2 linked regions of the Rattus norvegicus genome follow. The protein of the gene in region 1 purifies or fractionates together with the protein of each later gene. This does not show direct contact. Links are inferred from orthologs where the notes say so. Each region holds a gene or a part of one and is shown in the gene's direction. Other genes may lie near its edges. The genes, in order: Inpp5k and Gart.

What was found.
Region 2: the proteins of Inpp5k (region 1) and Gart purify together in Homo sapiens (co-immunoprecipitation; 3 studies listed by BioGRID and IntAct, counting the BioPlex papers as one, with this or other methods). This does not show direct contact. The link is inferred for Rattus norvegicus from reciprocal best matches to the Homo sapiens genes INPP5K and GART.

Annotation. Positions count from the first base shown.
Region 1 is NC_086028.1:60,965,430-60,980,772, forward strand, and holds the start of Inpp5k (inositol polyphosphate 5-phosphatase K), read left to right. Parts: upstream 1-8,753; 5' UTR 8,754-8,863; coding exon 8,864-8,916; intron 8,917-10,825; coding exon 10,826-10,933; intron 10,934-11,212; coding exon 11,213-11,321; intron 11,322-15,173; coding exon 15,174-15,290; intron 15,291-15,343. Other genes in the region: Pitpna (phosphatidylinositol transfer protein alpha isoform), read left to right, coding at 1,233-1,277. UniProt on the Homo sapiens protein: Inositol 5-phosphatase which acts on inositol 1,4,5-trisphosphate, inositol 1,3,4,5-tetrakisphosphate, phosphatidylinositol 4,5-bisphosphate and phosphatidylinositol 3,4,5-trisphosphate.
Region 2 is NC_086029.1:44,363,596-44,378,510, reverse strand, and holds the start of Gart (trifunctional purine biosynthetic protein adenosine-3), read left to right. Parts: upstream 1-1,424; 5' UTR 1,425-1,494; intron 1,495-1,510; exon of another isoform or gene 1,511-1,647; intron 1,648-4,724; 5' UTR 4,725-4,763; coding exon 4,764-4,908; intron 4,909-6,136; coding exon 6,137-6,232; intron 6,233-6,432; coding exon 6,433-6,607; intron 6,608-8,436; coding exon 8,437-8,548; intron 8,549-9,190; coding exon 9,191-9,259; intron 9,260-9,932; coding exon 9,933-10,058; intron 10,059-11,072; coding exon 11,073-11,160; intron 11,161-11,564; coding exon 11,565-11,650; intron 11,651-11,976; coding exon 11,977-12,145; intron 12,146-13,261; coding exon 13,262-13,493; intron 13,494-14,915. Other genes in the region: protein SON, read right to left, coding at 406-482. UniProt on the Homo sapiens protein: Trifunctional enzyme that catalyzes three distinct reactions as part of the 'de novo' inosine monophosphate biosynthetic pathway.

The DNA of each region.
Region 1 (15,343 bases):
AGTGCTAGGGTGGAAAGCTCCAGGGGTCACAGGGCAGGGGGCCTTGGTGCAGTAGCACACACTTGTAGGGATAAAGTTCCATTTGATGGCATTTCCCAGTATGCCCCTGCCCTTGGGCTGGACTTTCATCCATTTCCACAGTGGGTAGGCATTATCCCCATTTACACAGATCTTGACGGTACATGTCAAACTTGACATTGTAGCTGGCTGCAAACTCCTTGATTTCTTAATTACTTCTTGGCTCCTGCCTCCTGAACTGGTTGCAGGGCAAGGCCCAGATTCGTAAGCTACACACAGCAAATCAGGCATGTAGATCGACTAGCTGAGTGTAGTTTACATCAGTTTTGCCTCATTGTGAGGCCATGTTGGTGATGTGACGATGCACACGAAACCCCTTTATTTATCCGGGCAAGCCATGTGCTTCGATGTCCTTGGCTGAGAACTCATGCATGGAGCGTGAAGAGCGCCAGTCACTGGGGGGTGCACACGTGGCGCCTGCCAGGCCAGGTGAGCCAGAACCCGCATAGCAGTCCTGGCTTCAGTCCCACTCTCACTCTTGACAGTGTCTTTTCCTGTCTTAATAAGCAGTTCAGGGACCACAGAGATAGCTCAGGGGTTTAGGGTGCTTGTTGACCTTATAGGGGACCCAGGTTCGATTCCCATCACCCACGCGGCAGCTCAGGACCATCTGTAACAACATCTCTTCTGGCCTCTGTGGTCACCAGGTATACACATAGTGTATATACATACAAGCAAGCAAAACAGTCATACATATAAAATAAAAATAATTCTAAAAATAGTAAAAATACAGTCTATTTTTATTTTGTGCCTAACTTTAAAAGGCATGGTTTCTCTTTCCATCTGCACCTGGTTCGCCAGGATCTCCAGTTTACCCTTGCTGTACTTTTCTCATAAACCCAATAAAATTGTCATTGAGCTTTGAAAATAAATGAATAGATGAAGTAGAAATTAAAACATAAGTAAGTAAATAAATGAATAAAAGCAGAGAGAAAAGCATCCTGGGCTTAGGCTTGGTCAGTTTTGCGTTGTGGTGGATTGAAGGACCTGTGAGAGAAGAGAAGTGGTATCATTTATTCATACTTGTTGTTTCTGCGTGGTGCACACAGGCACATGTTCTCCCCTGTTGGCAGGATTGAGAAGGCGGATGCACTCATGGTGGAGTTCCATCAACAACAAAAGCTTTTAATTTCCTTCTGCTTTTTCTGTTCCAGATGAGACAAAAGGACCCCGTGAAAGGAATGACAGCAGATGACTAGCGCTACCGCCCTTTCTGCACTGTATGTACTGAGTCTTCCTCAGTGGGCTTGGGTCCTCAAGGCCAGCAGTTCCCTGTGGAATGAGAAAATCTACTTTGTTCCTAATCCTGTACTCTAGGAGCAGCAGTCACTGTCACTGCTGTGCTAACGAGGGGGTTCCTGGGTTTCCACAGAAAGGAGTTATGGTCACTGTTTATTTTGGGGGTGTTTTTTATAGAGGCCCATGCAGACAGACATGGGCAGGTAATGAGTGGAGGAGGTGTGCCTTGTGAGGAGTGGATGTGCAGTGTGAGGGGTGGAGGAGGAGTGCAGTGTGAGAGTGGAGGTGGTGTGCAGTGTGAGAGTGGAGGAGGAGTGCAGTGTGAGAGTGGAGGTGGAGTGCAGTGTGAGGAGTGGAGGAGAAGTGCAGTGTGAAAGTGGAGGAGGAGTGCAGTGTGAGAGTGGAGGAGGAGTGCAGTGTGAGAGTGGAGGAGGAGTGCAGTGTGAGAGTGGAGGAGGAGTGCAGTGTGAGAGTGGAGGAGGAGTGCAGTGTGAGAGTGGAGGAGGAGTGCAGTGTGAGAGTGGAGGAGGAGTGCAGTGTGAGGGGTGGAGGAGAAGTGCAGTGTGAAAGTGGAGGAGGAGTGCAGTGTGAGAGTGGAGGAGGAGTGCAGTGTGAGAGTGGAGGAGGAGTGCAGTGTGAGAGTGGAGGAGGAGTGCAGTGTGAGAGTGGAGGAGGAGTGCAGTGTGAGAGTGGAGGAGGAGTGCAGTGTGAGAGTGGAGGAGGAGTGCAGTGTGAGAGTGGAGGAGGTGTGCAGTGTGAGGAGTGGAGGAGGAGTGCAGTGTGAGAGTGGAGGAGGAGTGCAGTGTGAGAGTGGAGGAGGAGTGCAGTGTGAGAGTGGAGGAGGAGTGCATTGTGAGAGTGGAGGAGGAGTGCAGTGTGAGAGTGGAGGTGGTTTGCAGTGTGAGAGTGGAGGAGGTGTGCAGTGTGAGATTGGAGGAGGAGTGCAGTGTGAGAGTGGAGGAGGAGTGCAGTGTGAGAGTGGAGGAGGAGTGCAGTGTGAGAGTGGAGGTGGAGTGCAGTGTGAGTGGAGGAGGTGTGCAGTGTGAGAGTGGAGGAGGTGTGCAGTGTGAGAGTGGAGGAGGAGTGCAGTGTGAGGAGTGGAGGTGGAGTGCAGTGTGAGAGTGGAGGAGGAGTGCAGTGTGAGAGTGGAGGAGGAGTGCAGTGTGAGAGTGGAGGAGGAGTGCAGTGTGAGAGTGGAGGAGGAGTGCAGTGTGAGAGTGGAGGAGGAGTGCAGTGTGAGAGTGGAGGAGGTGTGCAGTGTGAGAGTGGAGGTGGAGTGCAGTGTGAGAGTGGAGGTGGAGTGCAGTGTGAGAGTGGAGGAGGAGTGCAGTGTGAGAGTGGAGGAGGAGTGCAGTGTGAGAGTGGAGGTGGAGTGCAGTGTGAGAGTGGAGGAGGAGTGCAGTGTGAGAGTGGAGGTGGTGGTGTGCAGTGGGGTGATGTACACTGCCACTAAGCACTCCTCCTCACTTGCTACCAGCTCTTTCAAGCTGGCATGCTAGAGCACTTCCTAGGCTCACACCAGTGTCAACTCTTGACTCCCTAACACTGGCATTTTCTACCATCCCTTGGAAAAGGAGCTGGACAGCTTTTAGCACTCAGCACATCTGATACCCTCCTGGTGCTAGCATACTAAGTAACTCTGCCTTCAACAAAGGCAGCATCCTCCAGGTGCTGGAAGACTTTTTTATCCAGGTCATAGGGCTAAGTTGGGTGTCCCTTGTTTTACCTGTCATTCTTCCCCAAGGCCTCTCCTTCTGTTAGTTCTCAAAGCTAGCACTTCTTCAGTGTGTACTTGTATACAGTATACAGAGTAACCTATTTACTTGAAGACTCATCCTGCAGCACAGAGTGAGGTACCTGACTCTGCCCCCATTTAGGTGGCGAGGAAATTATTTGCTCAAAGAGCACCCTCTAGCACCAAGAGGCCAAGGAAACCTAGGTAGGACCTTTTTGTTCTTTGGCTTTCTCATGGTTCTTTTTTTCCAGTGCTGGGTCAAACCCAGGGCTGTGTGAGTGCTAGCTAGGCAAGCACTGTGTCCACAGCCTAACCCGTGTTCTTAAGCAGCTTCTGGGAGATGGAAGGGGAGGATTAAGCAGATGCCAGTAGTCAGTGTAGTCAGTGCCAGAACATTAGTACCCTCTCTCCAAGGCCCCCACCAACTGGCACCCTTCCTCCTGGAATTTCTCCACTTGTCATGATTTACTGTGTTCTTGTGTTTTCCCTCGTTGCTTTCTTAATAATTTCTATTTCTCTTCTAGTTTTGCAAGACAGTGGTCCACAGGAAGGCCCAGCAGCTCCACCCTCCTGAGTGGCAGGCCATCTTTGGACGCAGCCTTTCTGTGCTCATTCTTCAGGCAACTTTCAGTCCCTTACTATAGCTATTTCTAGATGCCCTTTAACATTGTGAACAAATAGACCGTCTGGTATTATAAAGCCTGTGTGTGCGGGAGCCTGATCCTCTAAGATATATGGTGTATGCTGCTGTATTTACAGCTCATCCTCTCTCCATTGTGCCCTGACCCATTTCTGTATGCCCTCCCCCTTTATTTCCAAGTGACGTTCTCATTCTTTCAAATGTGCTGCCTTTGTGATGTGATTATTTAAGCTCACTTATTTCAGCCTTGGGATAAGCTGAGCTATTTTGCTTCCTGGGCAGATCTTTGGCAATGTTGAATATTCACTTGGGGAGAGAGGAGGAGTTAAAAATACAGAGACACCTACCCTAGCTCCTCACAATAGGAATGTGGCTTCAGAACCCTGACCTCTGCTCCTAGTAACCTCTTGTTCGCGTGCTCTAAGCACCAAGAAGGCACCCAAGGCCCAGCCAGTCTAAGAAAATTTAGCAAATAATAAATAACCCCTACTCGAGTCATTGCATCTCTGGTTAATATTTTTAGAACTCTTGGCTTCTCAGCCCTCCTGTTGCCCACGCTGAATCTCCTTGCAGAGCCTACGAGAACCCACCACTGCCCAGCTGGAGAACTGTCCAGTGTGGCCCATAGACACCAATCAGACCCCCGGGGAGCTCTGTCTGTCCATGCTCCTCTTCCCTTTCGGGCTGGTGCTGCCACTCAGCAATAACCCTCTCTGTGCTTTCTTAGGCCCCTGTCCTCTCGGAGGCTGGTTAGGGTGCAAGAGTCCTGGTCTTTTCATGCTGCACAAAACAAGCATGCAAAAAGCTCTTATCCCTAGCAAAACATACACCTTCCTGTCTCTAATTACTGGACAGGAATTTGCAGATCAAGAACTCAGCTCATCCTGCCCCATACTGAGTTCTGTCTTAGACAATCAAAATCAAGCAGTGAGTGTAGCCTAGAACACTTACACCGTAGGCTGGTGAGTGACTGTAGCCTGGAACGCTGACCACAGGAGGCTGGTGAAGCCCAGGCTCCAGGAGAGAAGAAGCTGCAGAGCACTTCCTAGTTCTAGATTGGCAGGAGCTGAGTATGCCTTTCTGGTGGGAGAGTGGGATATAGTTGTGTCACCTGACATTTCCCAAGCCTTGTTCAGTCAGCCCAGTGTGTAGTGATCCAAGCCCATGCTAGCCAGGGTACCTGTTAGAGACCAAATCTCTGCTAGGGGAGTGAGAAGTAGGATGGATCGTTCTCCTTGTCTTTGTCAGTGTTTGCCTTACTCATTTCTAAGTGCAATAAGGCAGTGAGTGTCTCAAGGGACTGCACCTGTGACATCCTGACTGGACGCTTCCCTGTGGTCCTCCTGCAGCAAGGGTAGACAGATTTGGGCCCCTCAGCATGGTTAGCTCTGACCTTCCTTGAGGTTCTTTTAAGACCAGGAGATGTCCTTTACAGAAACCTTCCTCTGTATTAGTCTCCTCACCTTGTGGAGTCTTTTTTTGGTTCTTTTTTTCGGAGCTGGGGACCGAACCCAGGGCCTTGCGCTTCCTAGGCAAGCGCTCTACCACTGAGCTAAATCCCCAACCCCACCTTGTGGAGTCTTTAGGAATGTACTTGGGGCGTCTTGGTTGGTGATTAGCATATCACCTGCTAGTAGCATGGGAAAGTTGGAGAAGAGGCAGGCATTCCTAATGGAGAAAAATATAAATGTGCTCATATAAGCTCTGTATTACCTGTCAAATCATATTTGTGCTTAAAGATTTTCCTTCAGTAACTAAGTTGAAGCCCAGATGTGAGTTATCTTGAGAGAAGTTGATACTCTAAGCAGATAGTTGTTTACATGGTGTGAGGCTCAAAAGATGTTTGTCTCCTTCAGCACTTCATGAGATCCATACATATCAGTCACATCAGCCTCAGTCCAGGCCTGCTCTTACCTGCCTGTGCCCCTGCTGTTGCCCATGTTTGAAAGCATCCAAATGATCCGAACTACAATTTCCTGAGACCAGCCTGGATCTAGGGCTCCTGCCTACATAAACACAAAGGAGGGATATCCCTGTCTGTTCCAGCCCCATGGCTGGTGTTGCTGCTGGGCACATGTTGGCTTTTAACTTCTCCCCTTCCTTTACCTCCCCCCAAAATTGACTAGCACTCAGAGGGCTGGTGATGAAAGGCTCAGTCTTGTGATAATCCTGAAAGTGTGCCACGCCTCTTCAGACTGGCTGCTTCCATTACATTTCCAGGTCTGACTTACTCCCAAAGGGAGCAGCAGTACCTCTGCACAAGGCCTGCTGGGCTCCAGCCTTCTTGTGGAGAGACACTGGGGAGGGACAGGACAGGTCACTGTTGTGGGCATGTGTGTATCCTTCCACATTCTCCTTTTACAGGCCCTGCTGGGACCTCTGACTTTCTTGGGTTGGTTCTTAGTGCTACTTCTTTTACAGACTACACTTTATAGAACTAATTAGATTACCTGTTTATTTAATGTGAGTTTGTGCCTTTTTGTCTCAATCTTCCAATACAGGTATATTGGGGAAAAAAAGCAGTCTAATAAAATCCTAGACAGAGTTTTTTTGGAGTCCAGCTTATTGGTGATATTCCTATGTCCATTTTTCAACTTAGATACCCTTAAAGTTCCTACTGATGTCTCCCCACTTTATTTACCAGGAGAGGATTATGAAAAGATACAGTGGTGTTTCTGACATTTTATGTAAATAAAGTATTCCTTGTCCAAAAAAGTCAATTCCAGTATGGATTCGGGCTGGGGGTGTAATGTAATTCAGTGATAGTATTTACCTAACAGGCATGAAAAAAAGTCACATTAAAAAAGTCCCTTGTCAGTTCAGCTTTCTTATGCAGCAATGCATATCTCAACAGTCACTTTTGCTTTTGTCTCTCTTACTCTACTAAGTAATACATTTATTTATTTACTTATTTATTATGATTTGTTTATTTTATGAGTACACTATCACTGTCTTCAGACATACCAGAAGAGGGCATCAGATCCCATTACAGATGGTTGTGAGCCACCTTGTGGTTGCTGGGAATTGAACTCAGGACCTCTGGAAGAACAGTTTAACCACTCTTAACCACTGAGCCATCTCTCCAGCTCGCTCTTTCTTCCTTCCTTCCTTCCTCTCTTTCTTTCTTTCTTTCTTTCTTTCTTTCTTTCTTTCTTTCTTTCTTTTTCTTCCTTCCTTCCTTCCTTCCTTCCTTCCTTCCTTCTTTCTTTAAGTCATGGACTTAAAATACTTCATTATTTTCAGGGCAAAAACAGCAAGACAAGCAAGATGTAAATTTGGCAACTGCCTGGAAGAACTCTCCCTTTTGAGCAGCTGCATGGTGAAGAGGTTGGGTGGGTAGAAAGAATGAAAAAGCCCAAAGCATTCTAAAAAGAAAAAAAATTAAACTTTGAGGGCTAGAGAGATGGCTCAGCACTTAAGAGCATGTACTGTTCTTCTAGAGGACCTGAGTTCAGTTCCTACCACCTACATCACAGTTTACAACTGCCTGTAACTCCAGCTCCAGGGGAATCTGAAGCTTCAAGTCTCCACAGTCACCTGCACTCTGGTGTACACACACACACACACACACACACACACACACACACACACACAGCTTGGCCTGGTGTACACACACACACACACACACACACACACACAGCTTGGCCTAAAAGAGAATACTAGACGAGGTTTGTTAATTTCACTACAAGTGGGCAAGATTAATTCCACTGGTATGCTTGATACCCAGAGGGGAAAAGTAATTCCTTGCAACTGGAGTTAGAATGGTTATGAGCCACCATGTGGGTGATGGGAACCAAACCCGAAGTCAGTCATCAGTAACTGCTCTTTACCTCTGAGCCCTCTTCAGCCCTTTCAGTTTTCCTTATTACTGTGTTTATGGCTACATGCAGGAATCAAAGGACAACTTTGAGTGATTCTTGTCTTCCCTCCAGGGGTAAAGCTCAGGTGGTTAGAGTTGGTAGCAGAGGTTGTCCCCTCCTTAATTTTGAGAACGAATCACAGCAGTTCTAATGGCCTGTAAGCTGAAGATAGCCCAAACTGGACTCAAACTTGGGAGTAGTCATACAGTCAAAACAGTTTTTGGAAATACATCACTACACCTGGTTCCAGAACATATAAAGTAGCGGGGTGTTTGTGGATTCTTGAGACAAGGCATCACTGAGTAGCTGGTACTACAGTTGTGCTAAAAGGTAGAAATCACTAACTTAGCTTTCAAGCGTTGAATTTTATGTTAAAACTCCATTTCCTTAGGGAAGTCATAATTATAAAAACCATCCTATGCACAATCCCTCCGCCCTCAAAAATAAAGACCCAAAAATCTAAAGGAAATAATAAACCGAAGTGTCTGGCAAAGTAAATAATCATAAATATACGCCAAATAGCAACGAATTGTTTTCATTCACTGATGGCTCTCTGGAATTTTTTTTTTTTTTTTTTTTTGCTTTGTATTCAACAAAATTAGTTTCGAGTTTGGCGTGGTGGTGTAATCTCGGCTGAGGTGGGAGAATCAGCTTGGTGTGCATAACAAGCCCCAGGACTAAAAAGCAAGATTGTCTCAGATGAAAAAAAAAACCCCTCAAACGACGACCACTGAGTCACTTAAAAGAATGAAGTGCTCTGAGACCCCCTATGGGGGCGCCAAGGAACTTGAGATATTACTTGTGGTGTGGGCGAGGGAGGCCGAACAGATTACAGTGAGCCTCCGGGTCCCGACCACTCCCGGCTTCTGAAGGTGGGTAGGCGGCAGGGAAGACCGTACACCGCGGGACCGCGAACCAGTCCGAGTCCGGGAGCCACGGCAACTTCCGCCCGCGCCCTCGCGCAAAGCAGACTGGGAGTACCGGGCCTGGGCGGCCGCGCCACCACCCACTCGCACGTCGGTGCGGGCGGTGTGGCGTCGGGGGTGGATGACACGTTGGACACGCCTCTGGGGTGGGGGGCGGTCTTCACTCCGCCTCTGGGCTATAGAGTCCCGCCTCTGTTCCCCAACCGCACCCCAAAGCCCTAGACGTTCAGAATCCACCTCCTACGGAAGCCGAAGCGCAGTCAGAATCCGGAAGAAAAACAATCCGGAGGGAGCTGTGCTGCTGAGACCGGAGACCAAGGGCTGCTCCGGCTCGCAGTAGCTGCAGCGCTGAGACACGAACCTACAGCATTACCACGAAGGAATAATGACGACTGCGAGTCTAAGGAAGCCGAGCGCACCAAAAGAGCTTATGCTCAGGTGAGAACACAGGTGTTGGCTGGTAGGTTCCTGGCGGTTAGCTGTCTTCAGCCCAGTCTGATTTATGGGGCTGGGTTTCAAAACCACAGTGGGATCAAGGCTGCCCTAGTTTAGACACCCAGATTCTGTCAGGCCAGTATGTAGGCTATGTATGCTAGGACTGATGCACGCTCTAAACTTGGGCTGCCGAGTTGGTCACTGCAGATGCTCCCAAGCAAGTGTCCAGTTGTTTTTTTGGAGCACACAGGTTTAGACTGCTAAGGACCAACATTCTCCTCTTCAGCTGTAGATTAGAAGTTTTGTTCCTACTTTTCAGCAGTCCATCATGGGGTCTTCTTGATCCGGCTGTGATCTCTAGAAATCCGAAATCAGATTTAGATAAGATCCTTTAGCGAGGTGAAACCTGGTCTCATGCTTGCTCTTTAATCACGAGGAACACCGCTAATCGTCCAATAAATCACGGTGCATGGATTTGTTACTAATCATTAAAACTGAAAATTGGGATGACAAATCCCGAGTTCTAGTCTTTATCCACTTAGAGTTCCTGGGAATACAAGGAGCCATTGAGTAAAAGGGTTACCTGCCGTAGTCCTCTGCTAGACAGCAGGGGGAGACTGTAACCAGACGAAGTAACAGGAGGGCTTGAGAAGCGGTTTTTTTAGTATTTTATCTTCACGGGGAGAGCCAGGGAGCTGCCTTAAGCTAGCCAAGAATTTTTTTTGTTTTGTTTTGTTTACAATTCATGCTTTAAGACCACATACCTCTGAGAACAGGATCTGGTGGAGAGGAGATGTTTTAGAATAGCCTGCCCTGTCCTTTCTGGGTGGATCTTGAGGGTCTTATGCTTCAGTGCCTCAGTATTCCTGGAACTCACAGGTTTCATCTCTGTATAGGCTGAGTTCCTGCTTGCTCTGTCCCAGAGACAGTCTGGGCTTCTTGGGCTGTTGCTATAGCAACACCCTCGCTGAAGGCTTCTATAAGTCTTTGCCTTTTTTTGAGCTTCTGATGGTATTTAAGAACTGCTAATTATTTTTCCTGATATTGAGACTTGTAAAGAGCAGAAATTGGAATGTTATGTTCCAACTGATGACTTTTCTCAATAGAGAGTAGACTCTTGAGACAGATATTAAGAAACCTGTTACTCAGAAACTTGTACCTAGGCTCAATGAAGGCCTTAGCAGAGTTTGTTGTGCTCCAAGGATCTGCAAGGTAAGAGTGAGGAAGGGAATATGCTGTCAACTTTGTTCTTTCTGAATTCCTGTTCTCAGAGCTCTGAAGCATGCGGTCATGTACAGTCAACCTCTAACTCCTTCCTGGTGCTCTTCGGAACCCATAGGTTAAGGAGTGGGCATTCAGAGTTGCTGCCTGAGCCATAAAGGATGAGTGAGGTGTAGGGGCTGATGGGCTAATAGGTTCCTGTCTATCAAACTCATCATCCTCTCCTTCTGGCCAATGGCTTTTGAGCTCCCCTGGGCAGCTCTGTGTCAGGTACTGCCAGGTAACTGTAGACCTTCCTAGAAGAGCCAGTTCACGGGAAGAGGTTCCTGCTTTCGGGACAGAGAAGGGAAGGTAAAAGCTGTGTAGTCCATCACTCCTGTTCCTCTTTTCCTACCACAAGACGCACAAACAAGTTGAACATAGTACTACACAACTTTAATCTCAGAATTTAGGAAGCAGAAGAAGACTGATCTCTATCTAAGGCGTTTGAGGCCAGCCAGGGCTGCATAGTAAGACACAGCCTGAAAAAACAAAAAACAAAAAACAAAAAAAAACCAAAATCCATGAAACAAACATGCCGACACATTTCCAATGATCACTGTAGTGGAAGCCTTAAACGTGTCTAGGTCTCTGCCCATTATCTGGAAAAATCTTAGCTTCCATTCTCCGTGACTTAACATCCTCTCCACAGCATACACGTTGTAACATGGAATGTGGCCTCTGCAGCCCCCACTGTGGACCTCAGTGACCTACTTCAACTGAACAACGAAGACCTGAATCTGGACATATATATCATTGGGTAGGTGTCTAGGGGGCCCCACCCCCATCCCTGTAGAGGACTAATGTAACTTGTCCTCCCTCATTTTGGAGTCTGAAGGTCTTGTTTTGAGCTTTCATCCTCAGTGGGTCCTGTCTTGTGTTTCTTGTCCTGGGTCAGCAATGGTCATGGATAGAAGGGCAGCAGCCACACAGCTGGGGAAGGGAGACCTCTTGGTTTTCAGAACCCAGGTCTGATGCTATGTGTGGGAGAGGCAGTGTCCTCCAGGCCAGGGATGAGCCTCTGGCTTGGAATGGTCAGTTTGCAGGAAATGAATTATGGGATCATAAGCCTTCTTTCTGATGCTGCCTTTGAGGACCCATGGAGCAGTTTCTTCATGGATATGCTTTCTCCACTGAACCTTGTCAAGGTAAGCTAAGTTTACAGGCAATGGAGGAATGTGTGTCACCTACTCTGACTCTAATTGCTTGTCCGATAGGTTTCCCTTTCTCCCTTTCAGCTAACCATTTGTCTGATGCATTCCTCTTTCTCCACTCAGCGTTTCATGTTCTTTCCCATTCATTAAAGGTTTAACCCTCACATACTACACTTGGCTCCCTGGAACTCCTGCCTTCCTCATGCTGTCCCAGTGTGCCTGGGTCTGAGCTATGAGTCCAGGGGTCAGTTTCACACCTAGGTATTTCTCACCTTGGGAGAATTCCTAGTGGTAATGCATCAGGGCTTTTCAATATCTCAGTGCTCACTCCTGTCCTACCCTCTGGTCTCTTCTTACTGCCCAGCATGAAATCTCTGGAGTATAGTACTTGCTACAATTTATGGAGTGTTGATTTGATGTTAAGCATTATAAGTAAGCTCTTGGTGTGTGTTATTTTTCAGTCTTAACTCTCGAGATAGAAATACTTTACAGATAAACCCAAAGCTAAGAAATCACATGGGCTCTCTAGAATCCGAATCCAGATTTTTCACGTCTCTGGCTTTTGTTCTAAACTATCATATTTTATTGCTCTGCTTATGTATGCTAAGACTGACAGGTAATTCCAAAGCTAACCTGCTGATATCACAGAGAACATGGATATCAAGTTCTGAGGGGCTCAGAAGTTGGAAGAGGGGAAGACAGGTGTAGTGCAAAGTGGTTCTTAGTCTGAGGGACCAGTGCACTTTGGGGACTTCGGGGATTCATTAGACCATAGCAGACTGACTGGAAGGTTTTAGGCCCCTGGGTTTTTTGTTTTTTTGTTTTTTTTTTTTTTTGGTTCTTTTTTTCGGAGCTGGGGACCGAACCCAGGGCCTTGCGCTTCCTAGGTAAGCGCTCTACCACTGAGCTAAATCCCCAGCCCCAGGCCCCTGGGTTTTATTTCTGCCCTGTACCCACAATGAATGAACCAACTCCTTTTTTTTTTTTCCAGAGCTGGGGACCTAACCCAGGGCCTTGCGCTTGCTAGGCAAGCACTCTACTACTGAGCTAAATCCCCAACCCCATGAACCAACTCCTAATCAGAGTATCTAGTTCACAGCTTCTTGGAAATACCAGAATTCTTTTGTTCCCTTTCTAGGATGAGTTTTATTCTTCAGTAGAAATTCAGTTACCTGGTTTGCCCAGGGATATTGAAGCAAGAGCTGTGTGGCTCTGAGAAAGAGAAATGCAAGACTTGGTTCTCCTGAGGCTGGGTAGTGTCAACCCCAGAACCCTTAGGTTTCCCACAGAACAAACTGAGATGCCTCTTCTAGAAGACTTGGAGCTATTCATGGAGGGAAGAACCTCCTGTCCCAAAACTCATTTCTTCCTAAGATTCCGTGACTCCTTGTGCCTTGACAAATTGGCAAGGGATTGGTAGGATGGAATGGAGCCACCCTACCAACTTAGCTCAACTTGTGTCAGGGCCCAACCCATTCCACTCATGTGGCCTCCTAAAATTGAGGTCTAGGAACACAAAGCATATGTCTCTCCTTTCCTTAGCCAAATAGATGGGCAAACCCTATTTATAGCTGGTTCCTTGTGGGGATTTACCAGCTGTTGTGAATTCAGAGGACCCTTTTTGGCAGTCCAGTGTCTAGTCACCTCCTGCCAGTCCCCACAGCTCCTTCAATTTAGTTTCTTCGCACTGGAACTTTCCCTGGAAGGCTCTAGTTTTTCCTCACAACCCCCCCCCCCCCATTCTCCCAGTCTCACACTCCCTGCCCTGTTCCCTGCTTCCTGCTGCTCTCTCACCAAGTGCACTGGTCTTTGTGCGAAAGCCCAGTGGCCCAAACCTGCTATGTTAGTTAGGATTAAATGTAACTCCACTCCTGAATCTTATCTGTTTCTTGGTTTCTGTCCTGACCCTGGGATTTCGTCCCTCATAAAATAACTCTGCCCAGATTTCTATTGTCATAGATAGTTGTGAATGGGAGAAATAGAAAACTATAGCTCAGTGGTAGAGCCTATATAGGTTTAAGTCCTGTTACAAAAACAAAAACAAAAAATTAAGACGACTTAGAGAGTAGGTTAGTATTACATATGTAGCAACCCAGAGGGCTCAGGCTCCAGAACCTCCCTTGCTCAGTACTGAGTTTGGGGACCTCCCTACTTTGACTCTTTTGCAGTGCTGGGGCTGCCCTTGGATTGGGGGATCAGGTTTCATAATTCCTGGAAGGCACCAGTACAGCTCCCCACCCGGAGATTTCCTCCTTGGCCTTTGCACCTCATGCTCCGGAAACAGCTACTGGAGTGGTGGACAATCCAGCCCTGAGAAAGAGGGTCACTAGGGGTGGGCTTTTCCCACCCCACCTCTGCAGTCACTAGTAGTAGGCATTTGGCAATCCCCAAACCATCTTCCTAGTTCCTCTGCCTCCCAGAATCTCAATGCTGCACAAGCAAGCTAGGGAGCAAGCTAGGAACAGTGATTCGTGACAGCTGGGGGAAAGCTTGGCCTCTCCTGGGTGTTAGCTACTTTCCCCTCCAGAGCCTCCATGCTCAACACTTACTTCATGTGCACTGCCCTGGTGGACATTCAGCCAGAGTCTGAAGTTATTTACTTTTTTGCAACTGTGTCTCATAGACTGGCTTTAAACTCCTTATTCTCCTGCCTCTACCCCCTGAGCAGTAGGATTACAGGCATATGCCATCATGCCTAACTTTCTAGTTATCACACCACACACACACACACACACACACACACACACACACACACACACACACACACACCAATTTAAATGGTACTGTTTTACTGGGCTAGAACATGTATAGAAAAGTATTCAGATGCTTACCCAGCATGCATAGAGTTCTGAAATTGGTCCTCAGCATTAGGAATGGGTGTAGTAAGTAGGTGTAGAGTCAGTTAATTCTTGCATTTGAATTGCTATCAGTCAACTCAAGATTCAGAACTGCACCCTAAAAGTGTCTCTCTTGTTCTTGCTTATGTTGAAGAGTCCCTAAGCCAAAGTGGGTATGGGAGCACATACCTGTAATCCCAGCACTCAAGAGGCTAAGGCAGGAGGATTGGCAGTTAAAGATCTACCTGGGGGGTTGGGGATTTGGCTCAGTGGTAGAGCGCTTGCCTAGGAAGCGCAAGGTCCTGGGTTCAATCCCCAGCCCCCAAAAAAAGAAAAGAAAAAAAAAAGATCTACCTGGGACACCTAGCAAGACCTTGTATCAAAAGGGGAGTAGGGTGGAGAGATGTCTCAGTGGGTTAGGACACTTGTTGCAATGGCTTCTCCAGGAGTTTGGATCCCAGCACCCATATATGAGCACTATGGGGGAGTGGAGAGAGGAGACTCACTGGGTTTACTGGCCACCAGCCTAGCTCCAGGGTGAGTGAGGGATCCTGTTCCAAAGGAACAAGGTGGAAATTGATAGAACAGAACACCCAATAACCTCCACAATGCTCACCTACACACAGATATACACTGAACCAAAAAAATAACACCTTCATGTAGGCATGGTGTTATCCTGCTTCATTCGATGGGAAGAGAGGCTAAAAGATGTGGAAGTCTCCAGGGCTCTTAGGACAGCATATGTAAGAGAAGCAGCTCCATGGCCATGGGCTGGCTGGGCAAGCAGTGCCTTTCTAGTGGCGAGCTGCCCTGGAAGCCCCCTGGAACACATTGTTTGCAGTTCAGAGGAAAAAAGGAAAAAGCTGAAATTTAGACTTAAACTGGGCTCCATAGACTTTCAGGCAGGGATTTGCATGTGGTTTCAGACTCTTAAAAGTCCCTAGTTGGGCTTAGTAGGGATGCAATTGGCCTTCGCAGTTTAATAAATGACCTTTGCCCTTCGATGCAGATCTCTCAAGTCCGTATGCAGGGGCTTCTCTTACTGGTCTTTGCCAAGTATCAGCATTTGCCCTACATCCAGATCATCTCTACAAAATCCATTCCTACTGGCCTCTACGGGTACTGGGTAAGGACTGAGCTCTGGTCTGAGACTTGAGCTAACAAGGGACGCTTTGCAAA
Region 2 (14,915 bases), on another chromosome or scaffold:
CATAGACACCGGCCGGCGAAATGCGCGGAGGCGGGGAGGGGGAGGGGAAAGGCGGCGGCGGAGGAGGAGCTGGGGAAGGAACTAGGCCCGTCCCTGGTGGACACCGGGCCTCCGAGTAGCTGGAGGGTAGGGGGTGTCCAAACGAGAGGAAGGTGAACATCTTAACTCGAAGAAAGAAACTGCGTGTGCGAACACCGCGGAAGGGGCGATCTTTCTCGAAAGGAACGAACGGAGGCTTGGGGGGGGGGGTGAGGGTGGATGGCCCGGAAAATGGATCCCAGGCCCAGGCGGGGCCGTAGCGGGGCCTGAGCCGAGAAACGACGGCGTCTTCATGAAAGATGCCACGGGAGGATAGACGAAGCCCTAACAGCCCGCGAGGAGCAGAAAAGTCTGAGAAGCGTTTACCTGGAAAGCTCCTGTTGTATTTCCCGGAATTTACTGACCACGAAAGACCTAAAAACCTGCTCGATGTCGGCCGCCATGGCGTCCGCTCCGTTCTCTCAACTCCTCCTCGCTAGTCCTCCAGGCTCCCAGCATGCCTCGGGAGGAGGCGCAGCGGCCAATTCCTTTTATCCCTTCCCTCATTGGCTCATGGGGGAGCGTCCGCACGGGCTCGCTCCACCCACGAGCCAATCAGCGAGCACCGGCCCGCTCTCCTCCGCTGTTTCTGAGCCGCCCGGGGTAGAGGTGCTGACGTTTGCGCCGCGCAAGAACTAGTCCGCCATGTTAGTGTTTGACGCAGGCGCCATTACAGGAGAAGGCGCTCCCGGAGATGACCGCGACAGCTTCAGCTGTTGATCCCCTCAGCCTGTGGGGACTCCTAAGAGGCTTTCCGTAGCGAGTAAATGCCTGAGATTAGAGACCATAGAAAAAGGAGACAAGAAAGGCCTCAGATTGTATAGCGCGGAGCTTTGATGCGTTTGTTGCAAGCGCCAAGTTTACTTTGGTCTGGAAGACCTGCATGAGAAAGAAATTCCCCCCATCCCGTGTCCCCACTGTGAAGTGGAAAGGAGCGATTCCCCATTCTGTCTCGATACTTCCTATAACCGGCGTCACGTGTTTTTAGCAAAGGCTGGAGCGTCCAAGCGACCTGCGATCTAAACGGGGTGCACTTGGACTCATCCGGAGTCCAGCCCTAGCCGGTCCATCCTGGCGCTTGGTTAGCGGTCACAATTAGGTAGCCGTGGCTCTGCCCCCAGTGCAGGAGGCTCTGCGGTAAACGGAGGAACCTTAGGTGGCACCCCCTGACAAGTGTCAGCACTAAGCCTGGAACCAGGGATTCTTCGACCCTGTAGGCAGCGGGCTCCGACCGCACCCTAAGGCGGGAGGAACCACACGGATCGCCTCGCGGGCGGGGACCGAGGCGGGCCGGCCAATAAGCAGCAGAGCCCATCGGGGGCGGGGCAGAGGCCGGAGCGCGCTGGATTCCCGGGGCCAACTTCCGGCGAGTGCGAGTGGCGGGTGCGAATGCGAGCTGCGTGGCCGGGCTTGCAGGTGCGTGAATCCCTTAGTTTTTAAATTGATGCGTGGACTGCGTTTACGCTCTGACCTGTGGGTTTAACCTCAGCAACCGGTTCTGCTATTGAAACTTGGCGTGGCTGGCGAAAAGGCCACGTGCTTTGCACAGCCTTGACAGAGGTCGGCCAGGTACTTTACCAGCTTTCTAATTCTGAGGCCGGGTCCAGGTTTCTGTGTATCTCTGCCTTTTAAAGACGAACTCTGTACACCAATGGCTTTTTCTATCGGCTCTGGTTTTATCATTGTCGCTAGGTTTACCTGGACCATTTTCTTACTCGATTTCTACTCTTTTAAAACAAATATTTGGAAGTGGTTTTACCGGACTCTTTTACTCTCTCCTTACCTGGCTCTTATTCTCGCTATAAATAGCCTGCTAGTTAACTGACACCCAAGAAGTTACAAAAGTCTCTCCTGGTTTCCCGACTGGTAAGGCCATGTTGACAACGGAGCCCAGGCACCCCAGCCTCTCCTGGTAAAGAGACCAGTATTGCTGTTTCACAAATGCTGAGTAGTAAGTGAAAATTGTCTTCTTGCACTGCTGTTCTTATTCAAGTTATATATTAAGGTCTAATAGCTTCAGCTATCTCTAAGAAAATGACACATAGAGTTGAACTAAAGTCTATTTTATGTGAAGGAGTGTTGATGTATGTTTGTGCCCACGTGCACACAATGAACGCCCCAAAGAAGCCGGAAGAGGGCGTTCAGTCTCTGGACCCAGAGTTAGGATGTTTGTGGGCCACCTTGTGGGTGCAGGAGACTAAACTAAGTACAAAGTGTTCTTAACAGACCTTGCTAGTCTGCTTGTTTTTTCTTTAAATATGAAATCCCAAAATAAAGTAACGATTTAGGAGTTACAGATTTCAATTTTCTTTTTTCTGTAACCATCTTCCGTATAAGTAAATACCTTGATAATATCTTTCCCTCCCCTCCCTTTTTTTTTTTTTTTTTTTTTTGGGTGCTAGATTTTGAACTTTTATTCTAAGCAATAGGATACTTTATAGTAGACAATATTTTAATGCCATCTCAGTTAATTCTTAAGAACTAAACTTTTAGCAAATGCCTGTATTCAAATGAGATATGTTCATATTTGATTTTGGTTTCTCTAACATATTTCCAATCCAGAGCATCCAATAAGATCTCAAATCATAAGCCTGCAAGCTTATGACAATAAACAAAATTTTGCCACTTGTTTTTTTTTTTTTTTTTTTTACAAACACCAAACACAAATGGGAGAAGCCAAATGTGGTGGCACTTGTTTATAATCTCAGCACTCACGAGGCAGAGACCAGAGGATCTCTCTGAGGGCCTGAGACCTGCATAGCAAGTTCTCAGACAACCAGGGATACAGAGAGACTCTGTCTTTCAAAAAGAGAAAACTGTTGAAGGAAAACTGGTTTAGTGGTTGAAGTTGCAGTGCCCAAAATACGCTTAGTTATGAACCTCCTGTGCATAATGGCTTGCTGTTGTGTAGAGCGCTGATTAGGCAAAGAACCTCTGCCCAGTGTTTAAATAAATCATTTTTCTGGGTGATACACACTCACTTAGAAGGGACAGTACATTAATGTTCTGTCAACATTACAATACAAATGTCATAGTTTGGACAATGCACAGATAGTCCTCAAATATATTTATTTCCTGGCCCTTGACAGAGAAATTGTATACTGTTAATTCCTGTTCTCTGTACCACATTAAGGCTTAAATTTATAAATTTGGGTGTAACACTAGTTGTCCTAGCTACTTGGAAGACTGAGACAAGAGAGTCTGGTTTTTTCTTCAAGTCAGGGTTTCTCTGCTTGTAGGCCTTGCTGTCATAGAGCTCACTCTGTAGTCTGGCCTCACAGTGAGAGATTACCTGCCTCTCCCTCCTGAGTGCTGGGATTAAAGGAGTGTGCCAGCACAGAGAATCAATCTCTTGATCTTAGGAATTAAGATCTAGAGTAAGCAAAGTAGCTAGCAGGCTCCATCTCCTGAATAAATAAGCAAACATCAAATCCATTTTCCTGCTAAGGGTTGGTGACTATCAGATGGTCCACAAGAGAAGGAATGTCAGTAGATTGTTTCTCAGATGAGGTGCTGTGTTAGTATGCAGGCTTTTGATTGGCCAGATAAGGTGTTGTATTAATATACAGGCTTTTGGTTGGTCAAATGAGGTGCTGTATTAGTATACAGGCTTTTGGTTGGTTGGTTGGGTTTACTGTTATGGGATTACGGTGGGTAAGTTACAAAGGAAAACTATTTGTGTAGGCTTATGGTTATGGGGGCATTTGTTCTCTGTAAGTGGCTCCGCCCCCTTAGCACACGCCCTATTTTCCATGACGATGGTCATCTTTCCAATTCTAACCTCCAGGTTTGGGGGTGGGGCATCTGCTTTTTTAGTTTTTTATTTTATGAGTATTTTTCCTGCATGTATGTGTACCTTGTGCCCAAGGAGGACATCGAAGAAGGTCAGGTCCCCTGGATCTGGAGTTGTAGACCCTTGTTAGCCACCATACAAATGTTAGGAATTGAGCCCAAATCCTCTGGAAAAGCAACCTTGAGCCATCTTTCCAGGTCTTGGGGGGGGGTTGTTTGTTTTTGTTTTTTGTTTGTTCGTTTGTTTGGGTGTTCCCAGGGCTATCCTGGAAGCCCCTATGTAGAGCAATCAGGCCTCAAACTCAGATCTGCCTGCCTCCGCCTGCCTCTGCCTCTCGAGTACTGGGATCAGAGGCGTACACCAACATGTCCTACCGTAAATCCCAATCTTTAAGTAATGGATTTCTGGATGTCACTCGTGTGAAAACAAGTATTACGTGAAAATCCTATTTATAAATTATGGTTTGTCCAACTAGGCGTGGCAGTACCTGCCTATAGTTCCCACACTTGGAAGGTGGCTAAAACAGGGGTTGCCGTGAGTTTGAGACTGGCCTGAGCAACATAGCATGGCTTTCTCACAACAAAAAGAATAGCTGGAGATGCAGCTCAGTGGTTAAGAGTGCTGACTGCTCTTCTAGGGGTCTGGGGTTCGATTATCAGCTAACCAATCCCAGAGGATCCAACAGTCTCTTCTGGCCTCCATGGACACCTGACACAGCTGTGGCACACAGGCACACATACAGGCAAAACCCCATCACACACAAAAATTAACAACATAAAACACCACCAAAAAAGAGAGATTGTCTTTCAAATACACGTATTCTAAGATGCTGACTATGGTTTTCTTTCTGCAGGTTTCATTTGGCTTCTGAATTCCTGCTTCGGAGACAACAATGGCAGCCCGAGTTCTTGTAATCGGTAGTGGAGGAAGGGAACACACCCTGGCCTGGAAACTCGCACAATCCCCTCATGTCAAACAAGTGCTGGTTGCCCCAGGAAATGCAGGCACAGCTTCTGCTGGGAAGATCTCCAATGCTGGTAATCACATTTCTAAATGCGGAGTTAATATCTGTTGATAATAAACAGTAGCTCATGTATGCCCTTTAATAAGGTGTATTTCTATTTAAGTTTGAATGCGTTCTCTCTAAGTTTACATTTTGAAGGTAGTAACTGAATTCTCATTGTATGAGGTAAATAAAAGTAGTGTATTTTAAGCCTTATGAACCACTGTGACTGAAAAGGCCACCAGTGCATAATGTGGATTAAAGGCACTTTCTATGTATGGAAAGTTGACGGGGCTGTCAGATGTGGATTCTGGTCCCATTGGTGATCAGCTCCGGAACTACATTCAACAGTTGCTGGCCGTAAGATAAAGCCCGACTTCCTCATCTTACCCTACCTGTCTTGTTTCGCCTTGTCTGCACAGTAGCCAATGTGGCGCATCATATTTATGGAGAGAATTAGAGAAAAGACAGAAATAATAATAAAATACCTCCTTCTCTGAGGTGGTGCTTTGTCTAGAGACAAGGAGTGGCATGTGCAGTTGGGGTTGTAGGGACCCACTCATCAGAATCACCCGGGATTGTCATAAATTTAGTGCCATTTGCAGCAGCTGAGGGTGGGTGTGCCCTCACTTTTAATCTGGTTAATCCAACTGAGTCCAGTGGTGTTGGATGGAGAACCTGGCCTTCTCTAGACATGGAGAAGAGTTTTCTTACATAGAATCATTGCCTTCTTTGCTTAAACAGCTCAAAGACCCTCCCTGACTCGACCAGAACCAGCCTCCCAGTTTGCCTTACAGCAGATTGGCTTAGTTCGTCCACATTTGCTATTGCTTATGTAGTTCCTAGCTAATATTCATGCACTGTATTATTAATATCCCAAGATTGAGGATACTAGTTTGTTGTAACATCTTAATCTCAGGGCCTATCACAGAACCTAATACATAGTGGATTTTCAGTAAACTTTGAGTGATCTTTAAAAGACAAGTTTCTTAGTGTATTGTCTGGGCTTGTCTGTTAACCCTGTAACCAACTCTGGGACAGGGGCAGTTGGACTATAATATTGGGAATCACTCAATTGCTACTGAGCTTTATTTAACCTAATGCACTATTCGGAATCTCTCATGGTGAGATTACTAACTACCAACAAAAGCAAACCAACAATTAACTTGGTTTTTAATTATCTTACTAAGGATAGTGGTTAGCTTATTTCATTAACTGGAGATATTTTTGCACGTGTATGAATTTATATTTTCTGCTTACAGCTGTCTCCATCAATGATCACACTGCTCTCGCTCGGTTCTGCAAAGATGAAAAGATTGAACTCGTAGTTGTTGGACCAGAGGCCCCTCTGGCTGCAGGTAAATTTTATTTCTCATTCTTACAACATACACAGTGTCCATAGAAGTTTAGAGATCATTTTATCTCAATCACTTATCGATGAGGATTTGCAACAAAATACATTAGGAGCTTTCAACCCTTAGAGTTTAGTCATCATAACTCAGTCTAAATCTATAGAGAGAGACCCTGATCACTAGATTTCTGTTTGCTACTTCTGTAGGGATTGTTGGGGACCTGACTTCTGCAGGAGTGCGATGCTTTGGCCCCACGGCACAAGCAGCTCTACTGGAGTCCAGTAAAAAGTTTGCCAAAGAGTTTATGGACCGACATGGCGTCCCAACTGCACAGTGGCGGGCATTCACCAGCCCTGAAGACGCCTGCAGCTTTATTATGAGGTGGGCAAAGATGACCTTCAAAGGGCAGGTGTTTTATAATGGTGCTTAAACGTACAGTCACTTTCATCTTTAAAAACACAATGTATAGGCCAGGGCAGCGGTGGCGCAGCCCTTTAATTCCAGCACTTGGGAGGCAGAGGCAAGTGAATCTCTTGAGTATGAGGCTAACCTGGTCTACAGAGTAAGGTTTCAGACCGCCAGGACTACACAGAAAAACCATGTTTTGAAAAATGAACAAACAAACAAAAAAAGAATAAAAAATGTTTATTTCTTAGGCTTTCACAGGTTTATATTGAATTAATTATGAAAATATACTCTCAATACAATAACTGGTGTCCTTTTTCAACACTAAAATAAGATGGGATTCTCTAGCATTTGGGAAGTAGAAGCTGAAGGGTCAGCTCAAAGCTAGCCTGGGCTACGTGGACCCAGTTTCAAACCAAAAGGAGAAGAAGAAAAAAGCCTAGGATGTTGTGTGTGCTTCCTGTGTAGTAGACTGTGTGTTGATGTCTTCACTACTGAGAAGTCTCTAAGGAAATATATGTTGTCCTGCAACCCAGAAACACAGTGATGGGTCACAGCAGCAGCATGATCTTAAACTAATGGCAGTCCCCCTGCTTCAGCTTCCCACATGCTGGGACAGTAGGTGTGATCCACCATACCCAGCAGAGTTACTGAATTTGTAAGGCTTTTTTTTGTTTGTTTGTTTGTTTTGTTTTGTTTTTTTAAGGTTTCTTTCTTTTGTGTGTATGGGTGTGTTGCCTGCATGAATGACTGTGTGCCCACAAAGGTGAGGTGAGGGCTTAGCTGCCCTGGGTCTGGAGTTCTGAGCCACCAAGTAGGTGCTGGGAATCAAACCTGTGTCCATTAGGTACCCTTCCCTCCTATGTGTGGAAAGCATTGAGTACCCTGAGCGCACATGCCTTTCTCCCCACTTTGTTCTTTCCCTCCAGCCACCCTTCATTAACCTTCAGTTGGGTCATGTTTTCTCTCTCTCTCTCTCTCTCTCTCTCTCTTTCTTTCTCTGTGTGTGTGTGTGTGCATGTGTGTGCGTGTGTGTGTGCCCGTGCACATACAACTCAACACTTAATGAGACTGTAGCTGGTAAGTCAGTTCTCTCCTTCTACCATGTGGGTTCCGGGGATCAAACTCAGGTCAGCCACCTCACTGACCCTAGTTCATTCTTTATTCATTCTTCATCCTATGAGGTTTTCCAGAGATAGTGGTCAGGCAAGGTAGAGCTATCTGTGTAGCCCTGGCTGTCACTTTGTAGACCAGGCTAGCCGCAGAGAGATTCACCTGTCTCTGCCCCCAAGTGCTGGGATAAAAGACAAATGCCCCCTCTGCCCAACTCCTACCATCTCCCTAACACTGACTGTTGTTGCCCTGTACCCACACGCCTTGGGTAAGTGACAGCTTTGTTACTTACTTTGGCTAGCCTCCTTCTAGTTCTCCAGCCCACTCCATTGCTGTGTGTTCTAGGAATGGTCTGTGGGTGTCTGCCAGTGTTAGTCAGGTCTCCTGCTGCAGTGTCCCTTACGTAAGTGTGAGGCTTTGCTTTGTATCTTGAGAGGCTTTGCTTTGTATCTTAATGATTATCCCATCTGCTCTACAGATCTGGTTATGTCTTTACAGATTCTTCCTTATGGGACCCCACTATATGTGAAAAGCAAAATTGTGCATGCTTTATGATCAAAATTACAAAGGAATATATAAAACAATCTTGGCATGATACTGGCATCATATTTTTTTCTGTGTACCTTTCAATTTTGCTGAAACATACTGTTCCAAATCACAGAGCACTAACTGTTTGCTCCCTGTCTTCACAGCGCGGACTTTCCTGCTTTGGTTGTGAAGGCCAGTGGCCTTGCAGCAGGGAAGGGGGTGATTGTGGCGAAGAGCAAAGCTGAAGCCTGCGAAGCTGTTCAGGAGATCATGCAAGTGGGTGGATGCTTCTGAAAGGCTCTCTGTGTGGGTAGATGCTGCAGCTTCACAGAGTGGCCCCTGGGTGTGCCCAGCCCTGGAAGATAGTTCACACTGTAGCCTGGGTTATCCGTATTTAACTGGCAGGTCATGAGCTACACCAGTGTCTAAACGCCATAGTGTCTGCTACTGAAAGGTAGAGGGTCTTTAGCCCATGGGACTTACAGATCACGCTCCAAGTCCATGAGAACTAAGGCATTCCAAGTGTGTGTTCCAAGTCTTAAAAGTAGAGCAGTGGGTAGATACAATGTTTCTTTGCTAATCTACATTAATGATTATGGCGTTGCCTCTTAGAGAAATCCATTTTTACATACTTGGTTTTGTCTCATTTATGTGAACAAAGCTACACAGTCATCTTCAGAAATAAGGATGATGGTGAAATTGTGTCAGCAAACTAAGAGATCTGTGCATCACATCTGTACAGTGTGAGCCTTGCCTGCTGTCTCAAGAGAGGCCAGACAAATCCATGTTAAGTCTTCACACAAGAAAGAATTCCAATGCTCGTGTATTTCATAACTCAAATAGGAGACAGTTCTATAAGTCAACTTGGTAAATATTAAAAGCTTTGAAGTTTACAAGGCCTTTTATTTTTATGATTAGGAAAAGTCATTTGGAGCAGCCGGTGAAACTGTTGTCGTGGAGGAGCTTCTGGAAGGGGAAGAAGTGTCTGTACGTACAGCCATCCCTGCCCTTAACACACACCACCCTGCCCCACAACCAAAAAACCTTGCTTAGCCCTGGCAGCTTCCTGTGGGAACCTGAGCCCAGCAGTTTCAGAGGACGCACACCCTTGTGTTCTCTTTAATCATCCCCACACCAGTAGCTCTCAGCCCCTGTAGGCTGCAACCCTTGTGTTGTGGTGATCCCCAAACAAAATTATTTTTATGCTATTTCATAATGTAATTTTGTTACTGTTAATAAATCACAATGTAAGTAATTGGATAAGTGACCCCTTTCAAGGGGTCATGACCCACAGGTTGAGAACCACTGGTCTATGCTTTGGTAGGAGTACTTGGACTTAAATCACACTATGGAAGTTCTGTACATTTGTTTCACATACACTTATTACACAGCATGTGCAACTTAAATATAGCATGAGTGCTGGATGTCTCGACAGCAGGAAGGTCGATCTTTGTCTTGGGTAGAACCTCCTTTTGTCCCTGTTGCTACAAACGGCAGGTCCTTTTCAGGTTGGATAGCCAAGGTCTTCTGGCTCAGGCCATCTGACTTAGGAATTATTGTTCAAGCTTTTCAAATATGAAACCTTTTCCTCTCAGAAGAATCCTGTTTGACTTTTTGACATTTAACTTAACCTGATTGGACTAATCTGTCTTCTCCACAGTGCCTGTGCTTCACTGATGGGAAGACAGTGGCCCCAATGCCCCCAGCACAAGACCATAAGCGATTGCTGGATGGAGATCGGGGACCCAACACTGGAGGAATGGGAGCCTACTGCCCTGCACCTCAGGTACTGTGTGCTGCTCCTGATCCCACGGTCTGACTCTTTCTCTAACAAGCGCTTCGGGAAGCCTGAGAGGAACTGACAGCCATCTAGCATTTAAAAAAATGGGAATTAAATGAACTCTGACTCTGTCCCCTCCCACCTTGTGTACACCCATGAGATCCAGAATCATTCTTTTCCCCTCTCAGTACAGGGCCTAGAATACACAAAAAGAATTGAGATCCAGGACAAGCCATAACTGTTCTGTCTACTTAATACTGAGAGGCGGTGTCCCCAATTGCTGGTCAGTTTTGTATAAGAACTCTCTATTAGCCAGAAGCAGTGGTGTACCCCTTTTATCCCAACACCTTGGAGGCAGAAGCAGGAGCATCTCCAGGACAGCCAGAGCTACATAGGGAGGCTCTGTCCCTCTGACCCCCCTCCAAAAAAAAACAAAAAACAAAAAACCAGCAAAAGCAAGCATCTTTTATGGGCTTTGGCAATATTCATCTTGAGACAACTGTCTGTAAGCCTGATTTCCTCAATTAAATATACTAACTCATATCCATGGATATGTAGGCTTAAAATTTTGGGTAGCATGTACTAGAAGGATTCCTAAGGAGCATGAGAAGGGGAGAAAATTTAAGCATTGTGTCTGAGGAAAGGGCAGGCCTTGTTGAGGTGAAATAGTGACTGGATGGAGGTGGGCGGGCCTTAAGATTGATGTGTTTGGCAAGGGGTTGAGGGAAAGTGAAAGTAGACACTGACTTAGTTCCTTTTTTTTGTCACCATCCTGTCCTTACTATGAGAACTTTGATCTCCAGAGTCTTCCCTGTTGTGTGAGGCTTTGTGTTTTGTTTTAGACAGTTCTTCCTATAGGCCTGGGTGGCATGGAACTATATAAACCAGGCTGGTTGCAAACTCACCATCTACCTGCCCTTGCCTCCCGGGTATTAGGATTAATGCAGCACACCGCCACACCCAGCCTTAAGTGATTTTAAAAACAAAACAGTTACATCTAAATGTTTGTGTGTTCCCCAGGTTCCTAAGGATTTGTTAGTAAAAATTAAAAACACAATTCTTCAGAGAACAGTAGATGGCATGCAGCAGGAGGGGGTGCCGTACACAGGTAAGCAGGCTGCACAGAATGTCTTTACAGCACCTGTGTGCCTTGGCTGGAATGCGTTGTCTCTTTTCTACAGCTCTAATCACAGTGCAGTGTTTAGTATTAGAAGCTTGTATTCTAGGAGTAGAGTTGGAGCTCAGTTGGTAAAATGCTTGCCTAGGATGAATGAAGCTCAACAACCATAAATTGGGTATGGTGGAGCACACCTGTAATCCCAGCACCTGGGATACGGAGGTAGAAGGATCAGAAGTTCAAGGCTGTCCTCAACTCAGAATGAGCTCAGGGCCAGCCTGCGATGCCTGAGACTTTATCTCAAAAAATAATTCATGCTCTAGGTCTTGTAGTTATAACATACTGTTGTCATTACGCCATTACAGATTGGTTTCCTTTTTTCTTTTTTAATAAAGGAATTCTTTATGCTGGTATAATGCTGACCAAAGATGGCCCAAAAGTTTTGGAGTTTAATTGCCGTTTTGGTGATCCAGAATGCCAGGTGGGTAACAAATAAAGTACTGGCTAGCGTGGTTCATGTCTTTAATCCTAACACTCGGGGAGCAGAGGCAGCTGGAGCTCTGAGTGTGAGGCCAGCCTGGTCTACAGAGTGAGCTCCAGAGGCCAGGGCTCCAGAGAGAGACTTGGCAATGGTGGTGGTAATAACACTGGCAGGAATAACCAGAACAACATAGTAGCAGTAGTCCACACCCGCGCTTCAGGAGAGCGTCCTTTTCTTCCATCAGTGTCCCAGGGAATGAGTGGGAACCATAGATAAGGAGAGGTTATGAAAAGGTCATCTGGTCCACCTCCCGACTCTTCCTCCAGGTCATCCTCCCACTTCTTAAAAGTGACCTTTATGAAGTGATTCAGTCCACCTTTGATGGCCTGCTGAGCGAGTCTCCGCCTGTTTGGCTAGAAAACCACAGTGCCGTAACTGTTGTCATGGCGAGTGGAGGGTATCCTGGAGCCTACACCAAGGGTGTGGAGATTACAGGTGAGGAGCAGTGGGTAAGAGGTTTGCCACAGCGAGTGCCGTTCGTGTTCTTTCCTGCTCCGAGAGACATGAGTGACCTGGTCAGACTCCCAGTGTGATCTCACTGCAGCCCCACACCTCCTCCTTCCCAGAGCCGGGTGGTGGGCAGGGTGAGATTTGCATTGTTAGCATGGACGAGTGAGACCTGAGAGACATGAACTCTGCTTTGCAAGTGCAGTGCCGGATGGGGATTTCTATGGCAGGATTTAATGTTTGAAATCTAGTTCCCCCTCCCCCTTTTTTAACAGGCTGTGAAGAAGTATCTGGATAAATGGTGTTAAATCTGTTTATAAATGAAAATGAAGTGCCAGATAAGTTGTGCCATCCAGCCAGAACCTCTGTGTTCGCTAACGTGCTGTAGTGTAGCTCAGAAGTGCTCACATAGTGTGTTTGCCTCAAGAGCTGTATTTTCTCTCCTGCCCAGCAAAGTAAGCAAGAAGTCTGTCACCGTGGGCTCACACACTCAGGAGCTGTGTGCTTCTGTAAGGGAATAGAGAGATGAGATTGAACCAAGAACCTTTGTGATGATGACCTTTCTCCTCACACTGGGACTGATGAGTGTGATAGCAATTTCCGTAACGACGTAGTGGTCGCTACCAGTAGTAGGCATGAAGTCATTTGTGCTGGGTGGGTGGCATCATTTCGTCAGACACTCAGACCTTGGCTAGCACATTATCACAGCAGGTGTTGCTCGACACTAGGGACAGGAGAGTGAGATATGGAGATGAGAGTGTTATCCTTGTAACTGGCTGTTTCACCGTTAAAGAAATAGTGTTATCTTTGAAAGCACTTGTGAAAAAAACTAGCCATGCTTTTAAGTCTCAACCACTTCGGGCATTTTTCCTATCCCTCACCAAAACGGAATGGTTTTTTTTCTCACTCCCCAGACACTAGAATTTTTAAAATAGGACCATAGCACAGGATGAAATGTTATTTCAAAATCTCTGTTGTAGAGGGAGAGAGGCAGGAAGGTCACTGAGTTTGAGGCCAGCCTGGTCTATGTAGTGAAGACCCTGTCTCAAAAAAGAAGAAACAAGGAACATTTTTTTTTTTTTTAAAACCTCTTCTCTTTTCCAGGGTTTCCTGAGGCCCAAGCTTTAGGACTGCAGGTCTTTCATGCAGGCACTGCTCTTAAAGATGCCAAAGTGGTGACCAGCGGGGGCAGAGTCCTCACAGTGACAGCTGTCCGGGAAAATCTCATGTCAGCCCTTGATGAGGCCAGGAAGGGACTCGCTGCTCTAAAGTTTGAGGGAGCAGTTTACCGAAAGGACATTGGCTTCCGTGCTGTGGCCTTCCTCCAGCGGCCCAGGTAAAGATTTCCCTCTGAGACAGTCGGGTGCAGGCTCAGAACTGGCCTCCATGGCTGGGAGCCTGGAGCCCTATTTTAAGTCACTCTGTGTTTCCTGCCTGTGGAGCTGACTGAACCTTCGTTCATATTTTGGTTGAAATCTAAATTGTTTCTAGGGCATCTCAAATTTGAGGATAGTCTATAATAAGACCTTTATATCACCTACCACAAAAAAAAAAAAATCAAAGTAATATTTGAAAAAATAATGAAAGCCGTTGGCAATTCCTTATCTTTGAAAAGTCTGTGGAGATTAAAGATGGTTACTCCTTGAGTTATTACATAGTTGAACGTTTGCAGCTTGAGTCACAGGTCCTGCTTTGTCTCCCACCTGAGTGTTTACTACTTCCTGATTATTTATTAGCTGATACTTCCTATAGATAAATAAACTTGTTGCTTGCCACGTGAGTGTTTCGATTTTTTTTTTTTTTTTTTTTTTTTTTTTTTTTTTTTTTTAAGAATATCACGCATCACGCTGGGGTGGTGGTGGCTCACACCTTTAATCATAGCATTTGGGAGTCATAGACAGGGGGCTCTTAAGTCCAAGGCTAGCCCGAGTGTTCCAAGACAGCCAAAGCTACACACAGAAACCCTGTCAAAAAAAAAAATATCACATTGCCTTTCATTAAGTTCTTCAGCGGGTATATGTGTGGTGTGTGTTGCCTGTGTGTAGCATGTGTATCACGTGTGGCTGGTCCTGAGGTCAGAAGTGGGCATTGGGTCCCATGGAGCTGGGTTTAGGGATGATTATGAGCCAACACATAGGTGCTAGAACCAAATCCAGATAATCGTCGAGACCAACAAGTACTCTGAATCAGCAAACCATCTCTCAAAAACTGCCCTGAGCAAAAGATAAGTTTAAAACCCTTTATAAATATTCTGCACTAAAATACTGTGCCAAAGTTTTCTCTTTTTTAACTTTAAAATATCAAGAAATGGAAATTCTCTACCTTAAAATGCTGAAGTTTTAGTTTTTTTCCCCCCTCTGGTTTGGTTTGTTTTTTTGTTTTCGGAGCTGGGGATCGAACCCAGGGCCTTGCGCTTGCTAGGCAAGCGCTCTACCACAGAGCCAAATCCCCAACCCCTGTTTTTTTCTTTTTAGACAGTCTCACTAGGACACACTGGCTGGCCTGGAGCTCAGAGATCCAGTGACCCGTGCCTCTATGCCCAGCAAGCGACTTAAATCCTAGCTGTAGAGAATGAGATGTTCCCAGTAGGGCTGTGTATTCTGTGAGTGGCCCTGGCTGCAGGCAGGGCGTTGGCTGGCAGTCTTCCCAGGGGCCCAGATGCTTGCTTGTAATAAAACATTGCTTCACCTGTCTCCTCTGCAAGGGAAGACTAGTGAGCTCACAGCGCCATTCCCAACCTTGATTTCTATACCACAGT